3 linked regions of the Drosophila melanogaster genome follow. The gene in region 2 interacts genetically with the main gene of each other region. Each region holds a gene or a part of one and is shown on either strand. Other genes may lie near its edges.

What was found. A genetic interaction does not mean that the proteins touch.
Region 1: of upd3 (region 2) and Sam-S, changing one suppresses a phenotype caused by changing the other (phenotypic suppression), as found in Drosophila melanogaster (one study listed by BioGRID).
Region 3: of upd3 (region 2) and gcm, changing one suppresses a phenotype caused by changing the other (phenotypic suppression), as found in Drosophila melanogaster (one study listed by BioGRID).

Annotation. Positions count from the first base shown.
Region 1 is NT_033779.5:105,350-109,902, reverse strand, and holds the start of Sam-S (S-adenosylmethionine synthetase), read right to left. Parts: upstream 3,001-4,553; 5' UTR 2,903-3,000; intron 2,143-2,902; exon of another isoform or gene 2,139-2,142; 5' UTR 2,065-2,138; exon of another isoform or gene 1,557-2,064; intron 1,316-1,556; 5' UTR 1,218-1,315; coding exon 1,094-1,217; intron 310-1,093; exon of another isoform or gene 153-309; coding exon of another isoform or gene 110-152; intron 1-109. Other genes in the region: Nhe1 (Na[+]/H[+] hydrogen exchanger 1), read left to right, coding at 3,261-3,934, 3,988-4,391, 4,448-4,512. UniProt on the Drosophila melanogaster protein: Catalyzes the formation of S-adenosylmethionine from methionine and ATP. The reaction comprises two steps that are both catalyzed by the same enzyme: formation of S-adenosylmethionine (AdoMet) and triphosphate, and subsequent hydrolysis of the triphosphate.
Region 2 is NC_004354.4:18,275,700-18,283,428, reverse strand, and holds the start of upd3 (unpaired 3), read right to left. Parts: upstream 6,197-7,729; 5' UTR 5,827-6,196; coding exon 5,824-5,826; intron 3,996-5,823; coding exon 3,546-3,995; intron 3,444-3,545; coding exon 3,246-3,443; intron 33-3,245; coding exon 1-32.
Region 3 is NT_033779.5:9,578,998-9,583,276, reverse strand, and holds gcm (glial cells missing), read left to right. Parts: upstream 1-1,531; 5' UTR 1,532-1,684; coding exon 1,685-2,082; intron 2,083-2,157; coding exon 2,158-3,274; 3' UTR 3,275-3,712; coding exon of another isoform or gene 3,713-3,766; 3' UTR 3,767-3,779; downstream 3,780-4,279. Other genes in the region: CG31709 (uncharacterized protein), read left to right, coding at 3,713-3,766, 3,830-4,184, 4,246-4,279. UniProt on the Drosophila melanogaster protein: Transcription factor that induces gliogenesis. It determines the choice between glial and neuronal fates. Also has a role in the differentiation of the plasmatocyte/macrophage lineage of hemocytes.

The DNA.
Region 1 (4,553 bases), on a different chromosome or scaffold from region 2:
CTACTCTGAAATGGGTTTCAGGGTTTCCAATTTCCGGCTAGTCTAATTATCTATTCTAACAAGTCCGTCACTCATTTATTACAAAAAGACAGGCGATATTAATGTCAACCATTTGGGGTGTATTCTTCTGAATGGCACTCGGCGCTTATCATCACGATTGTATAGGGCTAGATTGTCTAGGGCTAGCTTGCCAAGCCGACTTAATTAGCATTATAAAATAAAATAGTATAGAATAGTAAAAGTAATCAATGCGTAGTATAAAAGGTCGCTCGGCTTATCAACAGCTGTTGTCAAACACACTACTATACTGGTCGCCACTGCTGATATAAACAAACTCTGGGAGGGGCGAAAAGATCGAGCTCGAGCAAAACACGTGGTTGGCAATTTCGGTGAAAAAAATAAGCTTTGACAGCGGTCTAGAAAAATGTAAGGTATGTTTGTGTTGGCCGTTGTTTTGATCGCCATCTGCGATCAAATGAACAAGTGCGTGGACAACGTAGAACAACGTAGAGAATACTTGAATTTCGCATCTCCCATGAGCCACAAGCACATGGTGCGCATGACGTAGTCTCTCTGTACACACATACATACATATGTGAGAGCCGCAAACGATAAAGAACCAGTCTATTAATTGCGTCTGCCCATCCAAGCACAAGGTTTAGCCCGCTGTTGTGCGGGGATTTCAAGAGAAGCCAGCTGTTCTCCGTGGTCCCAGCTTTCCGGCTTGGTCACCGGGCGATGCAACAGAGGCACGTTTTACTAGCTCTTCTTCCCGTTCTCAGCCTCTGTTCAAGTCGTGCAAATTGGGTAGAAATCAACAAAGGTATGGACATAATTTCGTCGCCATTTTGTTAGAGTTCAGGCGGTAAGCAGAAGTGAGTAGACGGTGGAGGTGTGGAACTGGGTATACAGGGAAAGGGACTTCAGACAGAAGGGCCTCAGACGCTAGAGAATCAGTTTGGTCAGGTTATGAGAACTGACAGGCAACATCTCTCACCACGCCCGAAGGGGCATTTGAGATTGTTTCTTTTTTTACACTGACACTATCGGTATGATGCAATAGGAGGCGCCGCAGATGCAATGAAGCACTCACCTGGATGACCCTCGCCAACGGACTCGGAAGTGAACAGGAATGTAGCTCCGTCTTCCATGTCATATGAGTTGCCATTGCTGCCGTTGCATCCGTTGGCGCTATGTCCGTTTGTCTTTTGCGGCATGTTGATGGGTAGTTTGTAATATGTAACTCGAAGTTTGAAGGGGCAATGGGGGAGCAGTGCTATAACCCGAGTTCCGGTCGGCTAAATTGTTGGTGGAGCTGGGGGAACAGAGAGAAAGAGAGGCCACATTAGCGGTTGTTAAAAAACGCTTAACGAAATTGATTTTCCGAACTCTTGCAAAACACATCTATTTTCGCATTCGCGAATCTAAGCTATAGGCCGCCTCGAGGCTGTTGGGATTTTCCGGTATTCGCACACTTTTCGTTATAGTTTTTTTTATATAATCGCCCTTCTTTTATGTTTTTATGCTGCGCGTTTGCCACAATCGTCGCTACATACATGAGACGCACGTTGAGCGGGTTCAAAGCTAAACTAGTCGCTAGGTGAGGGCTCGGTGCTGCTAGCTGTTTAAAATGCGTGTTCGACGTTCTAGCTATTAGTTCAACAAATTATACACACTGATTCTGAGTTATACTGGTTCAGCGACGGCAACCAAATCAGCGGCGCAGCCAACACACGTCCTATCTTAGCGACGGTTCTGAAGAAAAAGAGCGCAACTTTTTAATGCCATTCAGAATTTATACCTCCAACGAGAGAGCGGGCTTTTGCTTATCGTCGCAAACGGAGGAGGCGGTTCTCTTCGGCTGACTCGATTATTATTTTGAGACTTATTTGGGCGCTCTTTAGGGAAACTTTCCTAGCGTTCTCGGTACTCTCAAATGATTTTACTTCTTCAGTATCTCCACGTTTTTGGGTTTTAAGCAGCTGTTCCGCCGCCCAGCGTTGCCACCCCGCTCCGGAGTGAACTGTAGTGAATCTAGATCCAGATCCTTTATTTTATACTCACTGTGGTTTTGAACAAAGGATCAGACAAGATATGGATTATAGTCTCGACTAGCTTCCTGCTCAACCTGCGTTCAACTGCGGATGATTTTTACAGACGAATAATATTTATAAATTTTTGTAGACAGCATTTGAGAAGATGAGTCGGCAAGAAATAAGAGCTTATCAGAACAAAACTATGTGCTACCACGGCAGCCACCTATATACCTAATTTTTAAAATCTGTTTAGCATTGCTCTCTCGGCTTCTCTTATGTACAGCAATTGACATATACATATTCGATGATATAGACAATCGCTACACGAAGCGCAATTCGAAGCGAATTTTTAAACGAATGTCTGTATCTGTTGAAACCCTAGCTTTTCCCTAACATGGAGTGACTGCCCTTTTGGAGATGGATCGTTCGACACTATCTTGTCAAGGAAAGTCGTCAATTAGGGTTCTCATACTATTCGAACAATTTGTGCTTTTGAAAAAGTGCTTACGTCATGCCACAGCCAAGAAGACAAACAAGGTCTGCCAAGATCAAGGAGCCTGGTAATCAGTTTTTGCATGTACATTTTTTAAAATTCTAATACCCACTGAATATAACCGAAAACAACAAGCCCCATTATCTTTCAAATAAGGTGTGACCCCACGGGGCCTAAGAAGATCGCGTGTGCCTGAACGAACAGATGCGCAGGGCACATTATTCTTGAGCACAAATGGTGGGTGCTTGCGAACTGTAGATTGTGGCAATGCATTTATTTTACTGATTTATCGTCAGTTATTGTAATAGCCTTAACTAAACAATTTATCACTTTGCCAATAACAAGGTTTTTTATTATTTCACTTTTCTAATACATATATAATTTTCTTTTTGCCGTAAGAAACGTTCTCAATACGTAGACAAAAATATTTAAACTTAAAATGCTCAATTTTCAAGACACTTCACAAGAGCTATCAGCTACAATGACTGGGCAAAAGCCAATTATTTAAATAAATTCATTATATGGTAAAATATACTGCACGCAATTAAGTGCACAATTTTCTTTTGAATATATGAAAGGCACGCGCCAATAAGCCAAAATGATACGGCAACTCTCCCCGATATACGTCAGATAGGGCGATAAACAGATGTTTGTGAAAAAACAAATTGAACAAATAGTGAAAAGTTAAATGCGAGCGTTAATAGCGACCACGTCACGTTTTGTCGGCAAAAATGAGGGTTTGGGTAGCTTATAGTGCAGCTGCACTCTTACTGTTGGTGCACGCGGGTCCGGAAAGCATCAGTGGACAGGAGGTGCCCCAAAGCAAAACATCAAGCAACACCACCACTACAGATAATAGTAGCTCTATCCACACCGTTTCGGATGTCTTCGTCAACAGTCCGCTTGGAAATGTCACGCCCTCGATTTCTGCATCTGGTAATGCAAGCACCACGAAAAGGGGAAACGCATCCACATTGGTCACAGATCCGCCTCTAATCGATTCCCATGCTGTCGAGCAGGAGCACAACTCCTCACTCTCACTGTTTTTCGTCATCTGCGTTATCATGTTGGGCATCCTGCTTATCCACTCTATGCTCCAGACCGGGTTCCAGTACCTGCCAGAAAGCATTGTGGTAGTCTTTCTGGGCGCCTTTATTGGCCTTTCGCTGAACGTTATGTCTGGGCAGAATGGCAGTTGGAAACGTGAAGAGGTCTTCTCGCCCATGGGCTTCTTTCTGGTGCTCCTGCCGCCCATTATATTCGAGTCCGGTTACAATCTGCACAAGGGAAACTTCTTTCAGAACATCGGATCCATACTGGTCTTTGCCATATTCGGTACAACAATTTCTGCACTAGTCATCGGGGCGGGGATTTACCTGCTGGGCCTGGGGGAGGTGGCATTTCGGCAAGTTTAAAATAAATTGTCAATTTCATTCAATAATTTATCCTAAATTTTAGCCTAAGCTTTTCGGAATCCTTTGCCTTCGGTTCTCTCATCTCTGCTGTTGATCCTGTGGCAACAGTGGCAATTTTCCATGCTCTTGACGTAGACCCCATACTCAACATGTTGGTATTCGGCGAAAGCATCCTCAACGACGCCATATCTATTGTGCTGACTGCATCCATAACCCAATCCGCTAACGTCAATGCTGAGGCCAGCACTGGAGAAGCCATGTTCAGCGCGTTGAAGACCTTTTGCGCGATGTTCTTTGCTTCGGCGGGCATTGGAGTCATATTTGCACTAATTTCGGCTCTTCTTCTGAAGCACATCGATTTACGAAAGCATCCATCCCTCGAGTTCGCGATGATGCTAATGTTTACTTACGCACCTTACGTCTTGGCAGAGGGAATACACTTAAGCGGTATATCAATGTTGTTGACTATGACTCTAAAAGCTAAACATTTTTTTCAACTATAGGTATTATGGCTATACTATTTTGCGGAATCGTCATGTCCCACTACACGCATTTCAACCTATCCACTGTAAGTCATATGATATCCCTATTTTATATATTATTAAAACT
Region 2 (7,729 bases):
TGCAGGTCGCGATGGGCGTGGCGAAGGTTCAACTGGAATGGGCAAGGAAAAAGATTGGAAGCGGGTTAGTTAAATTGATTTGTCAAGAAATATGAATACTATGAATGGGAACATGACTAATTGATAACTTTGATCTGCAATGAGAGGTTCTCTGTTGATAAGAATCTATGGATTCATATTTGTACACCCATTTTATATATACTAGTTTTTAGATTAAATTAAGTGCTCTATTTATATCATTAACTGTCCATGAACTTGTAAACTTATATATTCCCAACTTAATCATCATAGTTACCCCAACCCATATTGGAGATCAACTCCATAATCCTTGATTATATCAGCATAGAATTGAAAATAAAACAATTATATGGCAAAGTATGATATTTTTAAGTATTTAACGCCTTAATTACTTGTATCGCCATGAATGAAGGTCGGGGTTATCTTTATTGAATAAACCTTTTTCTGCACTCGCTTGCAATAAAAATCCCCAATTGTAAAATTAAAGTATTAGAAACGGCGAAACCTTGGCGGAAATTGCGATATCCATATCGCATATGGTGTATATAGTCGATCCTATAGTTCGAATTTTTTGGGTTGAGTGAACTGAGCCCACCAGCCCCTTTGCGGACCCCCCCCCCCCCCCCCTCCCATCGCACACACACTCCCCTCATCCCAACGACCAGAAACTTATCTGGCCGGCGGCTGAAAGTGAAAATCAAGCCGAACGCTCGCGCCGCTCTCTCGTAACTGTTTTTTGAGTTCTCGGCTACGCTTCGGCTGGCCGCTCGTGACGTCGACGTTGGCTCTTCGTTTCATTCATGTCGCGCTCGCCGCATGCCGCCGCTCACCCTTTCCCGCTCCCGCTCCCGCTCCCGCTCGCTCTCGCTGGAGTTTCGGGGGAATCCACGGCTCTGTTTCATATGAATCACATATCGCGTATACGCTCCGCGCCCCGTATCCCCCCGATCAACGACCACAAACGGCGTGTGTGTGTCATTTGCAATAAACGAGCGTTGTGAACTACTCAAACATATTATCGTTAAGGTCATTTCTTCTTCCGAACCGATCCGCTGCGGTATCAGCGAATTCGTTGTTTTCCTTTTTTTTTTTGGGTGGGTATGAGCGAATGCATGACGTCAAAAGGCCGTCGATTCTCGGTATCGAAACGATCCATCTAAATATAGAGTTCTTCTATCAGTCCCGTTTGCCACCTCGTCGTCGGATCGGGTTCCGATCTGGGGGTTCCGTTTCACTCTGTTCCGGGGATGTCAACAATTAGTTGGCACAATTGGCATTGACGTAGCCGATATTGGCCAAATATTGACACACATCCCGAGCGGCAAGTTCCCGAGCTTGGTGCAGAGTGAGAAAAGGTGGATCGACTGGTCGAATCGAGTAGTGTGTGATCAAAGGTATCTACTGAAAAACTCAACACGAAAGAGTACTTATAAGCAGCGAAGGCAGTCAATTGTTACCCTCATTTTCTCACAGTGTGATCCGCGAGGCCCAGGTACTTTTCCCAGACTATGACGACAATTGAGAAATTTCAGCGAAAGCCAAACTTTGCTCATCGCCCTGAATAGACGATTGAGTGGAATCGCTGGCTAAGTGAATGAATGGATGAAATGGAATGGCAACTATGATGGGACTGGCTAAGTTTAGCAGAACGGGTAATTAAAAAAAAAAATAAAAACCAAATTCCCAGGGGGTGGCGACCTTTGAGACTCCACTTGCACTCTGAACGCGACTTTTGGCTGACTCGAAGTGAGTCGGCGGTTTTCGCGGATCTTGACCACACTTGAGATTTTTCGCCGCACCTGCGATCTCATAAAAGTATCTGTTTATGGCCACGCCAAGTGAACTACACTCATCTGGTTATCTGCAGATATTACTGTCCTATACGAAACTTTCCCGGACACCAAGGAATTAGCACGTTGGGGCAACCAAGCCGATCTCGACCGATTCACGAAGCGACATCCACCTCATTGAAATGTGGACTAGACCCTTTCTAGTGCACGGCGTTTGTCATACTTGGTCACGTATCGACTGGTACTCCGTGGCAATCATTTCGCAAGTACCGCCATCCACATTCCGGAGCCCACATTCTATATTACTTCCATTACTTCCATTATTCACTGGCCTATCGGTCACTCCGGGTTTTTCCTCAACTGGTCTTGCTCATTTCACCGTGTCAGTGCGAAAATATTTCCGAATTCCCAGACCCCGACAATTTGGCATTACTAAACGGTTCCACTCTATTAACATCAAACTGTCCGCAACTCGAGGGTCTCGAAATTGAAAAGCTCCATAATTTTCCTCTCGCCATAATTCAGATGTCCGTGGCGAATCCAATTCGAAATTTGATTAGCTTCTGTTTGTTGTTGTTTACTTGTCAAAAGTGTAAATAAAATGTGCCGCTTGATTTTATTTTGTTTATTCAACAAATTATCCACTTCAGATACGAATTGAGATTCGGATTGAACTTCGTTTTCAGATTCAGATACAGCTTCAGCTTCAGCTTCAGCCTCAATTCGGATCGATCCAATCTACGGATTGGCCATAAAACGTGATCGCTGGATCAAGGCCGGTTTGGGGGGGATCGCGATGGATCTATATAAACAATAATCGAAAAAAAAAGCGCGCGCGCCGTCAATTTGCTCTTAATCTTAATGTGGTTATGGCATCGATTGCTAATGTTTTCCCTCGTGCTGTTGTTGTTTGCTACCAATGCAAATCGACGGTTAATGGGGCGTCCCGAAATGCCGGCTAATGCTGACAAAACGAACGAGGTGCGATCGAAAAGTTGGCGGCACTTAAGTGCTCAATGCAAGTTGCTGTTGGAAGTGTTGTCAAAACAACTCCATCATCAAGCTAGCACATATGAACTATATACATATCTCAATCTTTATTTCCTTAGTTTCCTTCATACCCCTCTATATAGATTGATAAATTCCCTTAATCACGCAAACAAACTATGGCAACAACTCTCGCGGCTGGCGGCACGATTCCCTCGGATTCGGACTCATATGACCGCTCCACTCGCCATTAGCTTGTGACGGCCTGTTTGCACCTACGCAGGTGAACGGGGCGAACGCCTCACGTGACCCTCTTTTTTATCACCTCAAGCTCCCTGGCAACAGAAGAACCCCCCGCGAGTGTTTGATGTTTGTAAATGATCCAGTAGTTCTTCACATGACGATATATGCATACATATATTATGCTTATGGCATATGGACGACACTCACCTGTTTGCTAGTGAGATTCAGACGGGGCAGGAATCTGTAGTTTCCCTTATAGAATCGCCACTTGTTCTTCTCGACAATGTCCAGAGTCTTGGTGCTCACTGTGGCCAGCTTGTCCGCATTGGTGGTGATCCTGGCCTTGTCCTCGGCCTGGATGCCCCGCAGCTCGCGGCCCGTTTGGTTCTGTAGATTCTGCAGGATCTGAAATAGATACAAATACATATATACATATAGATAATAGTGTGTGAATTAGTTGTGCCAATTTATTTATCAGCTAAGAGCCAACTTTCGCTTGAAACTTACCCTTTGGCGTTTCTTGCAGCGTTTCGCCTTGCTGTGCGTTTCGTTCAGACCCGTGGGCTTCAGATTGCAGGTGTTCTCCCAGTCCAGATGCGTACTGCTGGCATTCAATTTCTGCTGGAAGGTCAGCCGGAAGTTGGCCGCTCTGGAACGCTTCTGTAGGTGCTTCAGGGGATTGGTGGGATTGATGGGACTGGAGGGGCTGTCAGTGGGCGGGGTGGCCAGGTGACTGGGCGCCGCTGAGACGCCACAACCGCCGCCGGAGAGGGCAAACTGGGACATGGCCAAGGCGAGTAAGATCAGTGACCAGTTCCTGTTCAGGCGTCGTCGTCGATCCACGAACGGCGGTTGCGGCTGCGGTTCCACTGGATTCCTGGTTCTGGCCGTTTTGTTACCGCTCCGGCTACCGCTTCCGCTGCTCCTGCTGACGTCGAGCGGGCGGTCAGCTGTCGTCTGTGGATGGAAAAAGTTCCGAAATAAGCTAAACAAAATTTATACAAACACGCAAAGCCCTCAAGATAACACAGTTTCATTTTTTTCCCACCCATAATGGCTCGAGTTTCACTACGACTTCTTGACGTCACATCTTCGTCAGACGTCGTCGGTGTTTAGCATGAGAAAAGTCTAGCAACAGGTTATACTATTATTAGTTACCAAAAAAAAAAAAAAAAAAAAAAAATCAAATACGTATGTTCGATTTTCAGTTATTTACATACTCAAACTTTGGCCGAAAAGAGGGTTCGGTTGGCCAAATGTATTCCCCCTGCCGAGGGACCAATTACCATAAGTCAAGACTAACGGACGCTGCGCGGACAACTGAACTGAACCGACTGGTTATATATTATCTTGGCCAACTTTTGCCAAATATAAACCAAAATTCGCGCACGTGATGGTACGGATGTGTGATTGTGGTGCGATTGTTTTGTGTTATTTTGTGTGTGTTAGTGCCTGAGTGGGCGAATTATGATGATTGTTGGCTGCTTGGGGATTCCCGCTGGACGCACTTATGCGCAAACCCATACGCACACATATAAATATAATCGCAATTGTTTGGGGGGCCCGAAGCATGCGCGATTTGTTATTATTATCGTTTGCGCTTTAGCTACAGCTACGGCCATTGCTAGTGCCGTCTTTATCTGGCTGAAATAATTATTTCAAATTAAAAATAAATTTCTTTATTTAGCCAAATTATCATGAATCATCGTGTGTCGGGTGGAGGTCGACTTGCAAAGGTAGTGGTGATAGTGGTGCCACCGCACTGGCGGTGGCGGTGCTATCTCATATTGTCTGGTGGGGTAGGCTCCAATCGCTCCACACGCCTCCTACACATCGAGCAGCATGGTCAACGAAACATTGGTCTTGCAAACTTTTGTGAAATTCACTCTCTCTTGCCGTGCGTTTTCGCTCTCCGGCTCTTTATCGCGGTCCCTTTGCCCGGACCTTGTCCTCCTGTCTGTGCCGAATCGCTAACGCTTGTAGTGACAACCGCTGACGCATCCAATCTTCAATTCCTGCCAAACACCAGCAACACCAGCACCACCAGCACCACCAGCACCACCAGCACCACCAGCACCACCAGCACCACTGGCACCACCACCCCCGCGGCACGAAACGTGTAAATTAATTTCACATGTTTCGCTCTTTTTTTGGCCATTTTTCGTCAAAAGGGTTTTTTTTTACAGTTGCAATAACTATTAAGTTAGTTGCATAAGTTGTGTGGTTGAATGGAACAATAAGTTCCCAATAAGTTAGAATAGTAATAGCAAATAAATGCAAGTCGCCCCTGTACGATTAGTCATACTCATCCGAAAATAACGTCCATAGGTTTTCAAATAACTTTGGGTTTTTCATAATTGTAATAACTTTAAAATGCTATGATTCACATGTGGAAAAATGAACTTAACATATTGTGCATCATGAATTTATAACTTGTTTTCAATGCCTATCACCAAACAGTGTCAGTGATTCACGAATGAGTTTCCCCCATGAGAGGCTGGAGATGATGGTCCCTTTCGGTTGTGAGCCCTATCCCCATCTCCAATCCCTAAACCCATCACACCTCCTCCTTGGGGCCAATTTCATCATGTGTGGGGTACGTGACACCTCACCTGACCATTGCAGCTCTTGGCAAGAACTCTGCGGGTTCAGAAGTATCGAGCGAAAGACACCTGTACCTATCAACAAACCGAGCACGCACAGGTGAATTCTCTTATCGGCAGCAGAAAAGGCAAATATAAAATCCCCGAAAAAATACGCGCCTGCGGTAGTTACTTGTACTTACCATTTACATAAAAATCGTTGGCTGGGAATTCCGCACAAAAATTCGTACTTGATTGACACGCACTTTGCTTTTGTAACGCTGTTAGTCTTTTCTTTGTGTGTATTTGCCGGAAAGAAGCTTCCAGAATGCAACGGGGAAAAAAACGAAAAAAAAAACTAACCAATAATAAAAGCGATCGCGATTTGGCGAATTTGGCGAATCAGGCGAATCAGGCGACTTTGTCGAATTTGTTGAATTTGTTGAATTTGGCTGCGTATCTTTGTATCTTTATATCGCGGCTGGACGAACTATCGCGTTAAGTGTCGACGCGCTGCCTTCGACTGTCTGCTATGATTTGATTCCGATTCGATCGAAGTCGAAGTCAACAGCGCTGTCGATTTCTTGCCGCTGGAGAGCGTGGAGTGGAGTGTTGTGGAGTGGATTGGAGTGGCTTTCTCGCCGTCTTTGCGTTGTTTTTTTGTACAATTTTTGCAGTAGCGTTTCTTCACTTTTTTTTCGCCTTTTCGCGTGCAGTGGTTATGTGTGTATATATATTTAGTTTTTTGTTTTTGTGGCCGGCGGAGACTGACTGAACTCCTCAGTTACTATGAGCATACTAATGAGGAGGCGGACGCCCAGTCCGCCGGTCATGTTCGCTCCGCTCGAATCGCCAAAGAAGCGGAAGAGAGACAGGGAGAGGCTCTCTCGGCTGTCATGAGTGTGCAATCGCAAGAAAAGCGCTCAAAACATTCGCCGAGTGCCAAAAACAACGCGAGAAAGCCATAAAAAAGCACAGCTGAGCGATAAAAAAAAACAAAAACGACTCATAGCGGCTGGGTGTGGACAATGGGTTACCCTGTACCCAGGGTACTAGCAACTAGGAGCAATAAGATACGCTGAAGAAAGCATGGAAAAAAGCAGAAGAAAAGTATAACTTTAACTAACTTTAGTTAACTTTAATAATACTAAATATGAGAGATAACATCTAAACTAGGCAACAACAAGTACAATCATCCAATAGCTATTCGATTGAGACCAATATTTGGTTAGTGAACTAGTAACAAATGTCATAAATATTCTATATTACGGCCATTCCGAACATAATAGATTTATTACCAATATTACCCAGTCGTAATGGGCGTGAAAAATACAAACGTTTAGTGAATGATTAGGCCAGCTAGATTTCAACACGATGAGAAATACTCACAGCTCTCCAGCGCTCCCCTTTGGGGGATGACACATAATCGGCGCACTGGAGTGGAGTGATTGATCGATTCGTCGACTGGGCCGATCTCCACCAGATAAGGTCGCTGGGAGAGCTATTCACTGTCTCTCCCGCTCGCAGATAAACAAAACATGTGTAATTTGCCTATTTGCCGGTCTCTGGGGAACGAAATGAGCGGCTACTTGGCTCTTATCGAATGACTTTCACTCGGCACACACTTCCGATTCACCGTTTCTCCGGATCTCCCGTTCTCCGATTTCGATTCCGAGACGATCGTTTCCGATCCGAAGCGAAACGATCCATTCCGTTCCGTTTTGTTCCGTTCCGAAGTAACCCCCGCAAATAGTCGGCAATTTATGGGGGTTGGCATGAATTTCAGTTATTTCCGTTCAATTTCACAAGAATATTACTCATACGCTCCGTCGGCCGCCGACAGCCGTCAATGACGACACGATTTGTTCAACCGCGAGCCGGGCTCTCACGCTCGCAGACACGGCGATTCATTCATGATTGCCGACTACGCTCCACCGGTCGACAGAATGCGGATGCCGAGAGGGGGTAGGCGCAACTGCGGGGTGGCGGTCTAAATTTCACCGCGCGCCAAAACCATGATCAATCGAAAAGTAATTGAGCACTCATCGTTACTCATGGCCAAAGTGGCGACGTCTCCGTTTTGTCGTTTACCGTTTACGGTTCACGCTT
Region 3 (4,279 bases), on a different chromosome or scaffold from region 2:
AACGGAACAGTTAATTCCGGGCATCATTAAGGCGACACACCCACCTTGAGTGCGGGAATCTGGGACCAGGTAGGATGTGCTTCCCCAGCACAGCCTCATAATATGCCACGTCATGACTTTCTTCTGTGTCAACGCCCCTCGAGTCCCGGTCGGAGCACCCTTTCCCATTGTCCGCCGTAATCCTTTGAGTTCCTATCGCGTGCTACGATCCTGATCTTTGGGCGACTCCTTGGCAGAAAGGCGCCGCGGGTTGCTCGCTCAGTTCGTGTCATAATTGCATGGCATTTGGTCTGTCGTGGAAGTGTGAAAATTATGGAGTTTCCTCACCCTTTCGTCATCTTAATGATTATGTTTGTTTCGTTTATCTCTGACTTGAGATCGCCAAGGGGCCCAAGGAATTTGTTTGGCAAACTTTGCTTCATTCATATGCGTGAGTTATGGCATTTGCCTTTGGGTTTGTAGGGGAGGTTTTCCAATATGGGATTTCTTCTTTTTGATTTCCGTTTTTTTGCGTGCTAAATTGTGTTTTACGATTATGAGATCCCTGATTTCATCTTGAAGATATCGGCAGGAGCTCGACATTTCGGTTTCTTTTTTTGCAAACGTTTATTTCTTTATCGATTTTGAGATCGTGAGAAGTAGTTCCGTTAGCTATACCGTTGCCTTACCAAATTCTATAATAGTGACTATATATAGTGGTAATATTTCTATATTTCTGTGAGTCATTTCCATTAAAATTTACGTTTGATTTTGAAATTTTTTTACAGAATAATTTCTACCTCTGAAGTTAAGTAGATTTAGCAGCTTTAATGTCCGCATTAAAAAAGTCTTAAAGCCTTGAACTAAATTACTTTCCGTGCTTCGTTGGAACCATCTCCATTTTGTTCGTAACTCTGCTTGCCCTCCAACCATTTCACTTTGCTCCCCATTTCGACATCCACATCCAGTTCGAAAGTAAATAGGCCCGACCACTGGCATCTGCCAGTGACTGTCGCCAGGTGTACCCATCAGAACCCATGCCATACAGCACATCCCCATCCACACACAGCCCCATCCCCATCTCCATTTCCATTACTGATGTTGTAAACTTTTTTTCTGAACTTAATTAGCTTTGACTGGGGTTGGGGCCGTGTTCTTTGCCATCGAGTGCCTCAAACCCCTGGTTCTCATATCGTACAATTACCCAGTGGAGCGCGTGCTGCAACCGCAGGTGCTAGAGCAGCACAGCACTCGTCTCCCTGCCCAGTTGCCAGTTCCCAGCTCCCAGCTCCCTGTGCTCAAGCTCTCCCAGCTCCCAGTTCCCTATAGAACGAATTCTCCATCTCCAGCTGCTGCTACCACTACTACCAATCAAACCTGCTCGGGAACTCTCCTAATTTCCCAAACTGGAGTGCCGGATAAGGCGGATAAGCCGCACACAAGCGCACCCGAACTGGAAGTCAGCATGGACCAATGGGCGTACCGCTTTGCGACCGAGCAACCCTCGTGCGATTCGACCGCTGGCAACTTAACTGTGCTGCGCAGAGCGGGCCCAGTTAGTCAGCCTTGCGCAGTCGATGCGAACGGACGCGTCGCTCCAGAGAAAAGTTGAGAAGAAGTACACAGTAGTAATAGACTATTGAGAAGGAAAACTATAGTGACCGCGTGTGAACTTGAAACTAACGATTACATAGACACATCAAAAATGGTTTTGAACGGCATGCCTATAACAATGCCAGTACCGATGCCAGTGCCCATGCCTGTGCCCAGTCCTCCGGCCACCAAGTCCCGGGTGGCGATCGACTGGGACATCAACGATTCCAAGATGCCGTCGGTGGGGGAGTTTGACGATTTCAATGACTGGTCCAACGGACATTGCCGGCTCATCTACTCCGTGCAGAGTGATGAGGCCAGGAAACATGCCAGCGGTTGGGCCATGCGAAACACCAACAACCACAACGTGAATATCCTAAAGAAGAGCTGCCTGGGAGTGCTCCTCTGCAGTGCCAAGTGCAAGTTGCCCAATGGAGCCAGTGTGCATCTGAGACCCGCCATTTGCGACAAGGCCAGAAGGAAGCAGCAGGGCAAACAGTGTCCCAATAGGTGGGTTTTTGACTAAACACAAAATCCAAGAATTGTCAAAACTAACTCGGTATTTTTATTTTTTTTTCTTGACAGAAATTGCAATGGTCGCTTGGAAATCCAGGCTTGCCGCGGCCACTGCGGCTATCCAGTGACCCACTTCTGGCGCAGGGACGGAAATGGAATCTATTTCCAGGCCAAGGGCACCCACGATCACCCCAGACCCGAAGCCAAGGGATCCACGGAAGCCAGGCGACTTTTGGCAGGAGGAAGACGTGTGCGAAGTTTGGCCGTAATGTTGGCCAGGGAATCGGCGCTGAGCGACAAGCTGAGTAGCCTGAGACCCACAAAACGGCAGGCCAAGACTCAGTCCATCCAGGAGAGCAAGCGCAGAAGGATGGGTGCTTCCGATGTGCTCGAAACCAAGCAGGAGTTAGTGGTGCCACCCACCACCTACCTGCCCACATCGACGCCCACACATAGCACCAACTTTAATCAATCTCAGGGTTCATATGTCCCAGCAGGACAAGGATCAGTGATCAGTCAGTGGAATAGAGAGATTCACTACGAAACGGAGGATCCATGCTATGCCAATGGAATGTACTCCTACGATATGCTCCACTCACCTCTCTCAGCGCATAGCTCCACGGGCAGTTATTACCAGGAGAACAAACCGCAGCAACTGCAGCACTCACAATACCAGCAGCAACTCTCACCGCAGCAACATGTACCAGTCAGCTATGATCCCAGCCAGCCAATCTCCTCCAGCCTTCAGTGCGGAATGCCTTCGTATGAAATATGCGACGATACGTCCAGTTTGACCAGCAGCTCGGGCTACTGTTCCGAGGATTATGGCTACTACAATGGATATCTACCCAACTCGCTGGACGTGAGCAATGGAAGCCAAAGCCAGAATCTTAGCCAGGATGCAAGTTTCTACACAACCAGCTCGGAGATCTTCAGTGTGTTTGAGTCAACTCTGAATGGCGGAGGGACCAGTGGCGTGGATCTCATCTACGACGAAGCAACCGCCTATCAGCAACATCAGCAACAGGGAACTTTTCCGCATCTCACCAATTATCAACAGGAGCCGCAGGATCAGATGCAGTCCGCCGACTACTACTACAGCAATACGGGAGTGGACAACTCGTGGAACATTCAAATGGACGCGACATATCACCCAGTCAACAGCACGGATCCCATCTATTGCTAGGGGATCGGGATAAGATCTCTCATCGCAACTACTATTACTGAGCCACTCAAGCGTTGTTCTAGTCCCTAGTTGATTGATTTCCATTCATGTTCCCATTGCTTGTTGGTCGTGTATTATTATATATTGAACGTTTCTAGTTTGTACTTTTGTACTTGTTTCCCAGCTATTCCAAAGTTTTAGAGCACGTAAGAGTAATAGTATTCTTAAGCACATAGAGTTTTAAGTCACATTTCCCACCTATTTATGAACTTTTTTGTAGTAATAAACATTTTTGAAAGAAAAACTTAATCGAAGCAGCCTTTTTTTGAGAATTGACACGTGTCAAGCAAGGGAGCTCGTAATCATTGTCAGTATAACATTACCAGCGGCAGGATATACAACTAGGGATTTTCCTCAACAACAAGTTTAAATTCGTTAGTCAACCAAAATCGTGTAACAATGGGTGCTTGTCGCCCTAGAAAATGTAGTGCAAATAACCGAACTATGGCAATTGTGAGTACTAAATAAAGGCCTAAACAAATAACAATGAATAAAACCAAATTTTGTATTGAGAAGCGTCGCCGTAGAGCTCTAGTTAACTTGCTATTTTTGCGCCGTCATTTGATTGGACAGGCACTTGGAATTACGAATCGGGAAACTCCAGACCTTAGGGTAAAATCGCGGCGACGCAATCGTAGAAGGAGAATGCAATTCAGAGTCCGTACACCAAGTGATAATGCAATGCGCTCAGTAAGGCATCATGGACAGAATCCAATCAGCCCAGGATCACGGCTACAACGAAATAATCCACTTTGGGGACACGCCGACATTATAACCACAGATAGAGCGTTGGAAGCTTTAAATGGACTTACTACAGGGAACAGGGAACCAAATGCATTGTCAGTAATGGTGCGATATACCAATGGGCGGTGTAAGTTGAGCTGTACTTATTGCTAATACAATGAAGTGCATAATTAATACTCTCTTATTAGATTATTTAAGCTTAGAGCCAAGTGGAAATCAGCA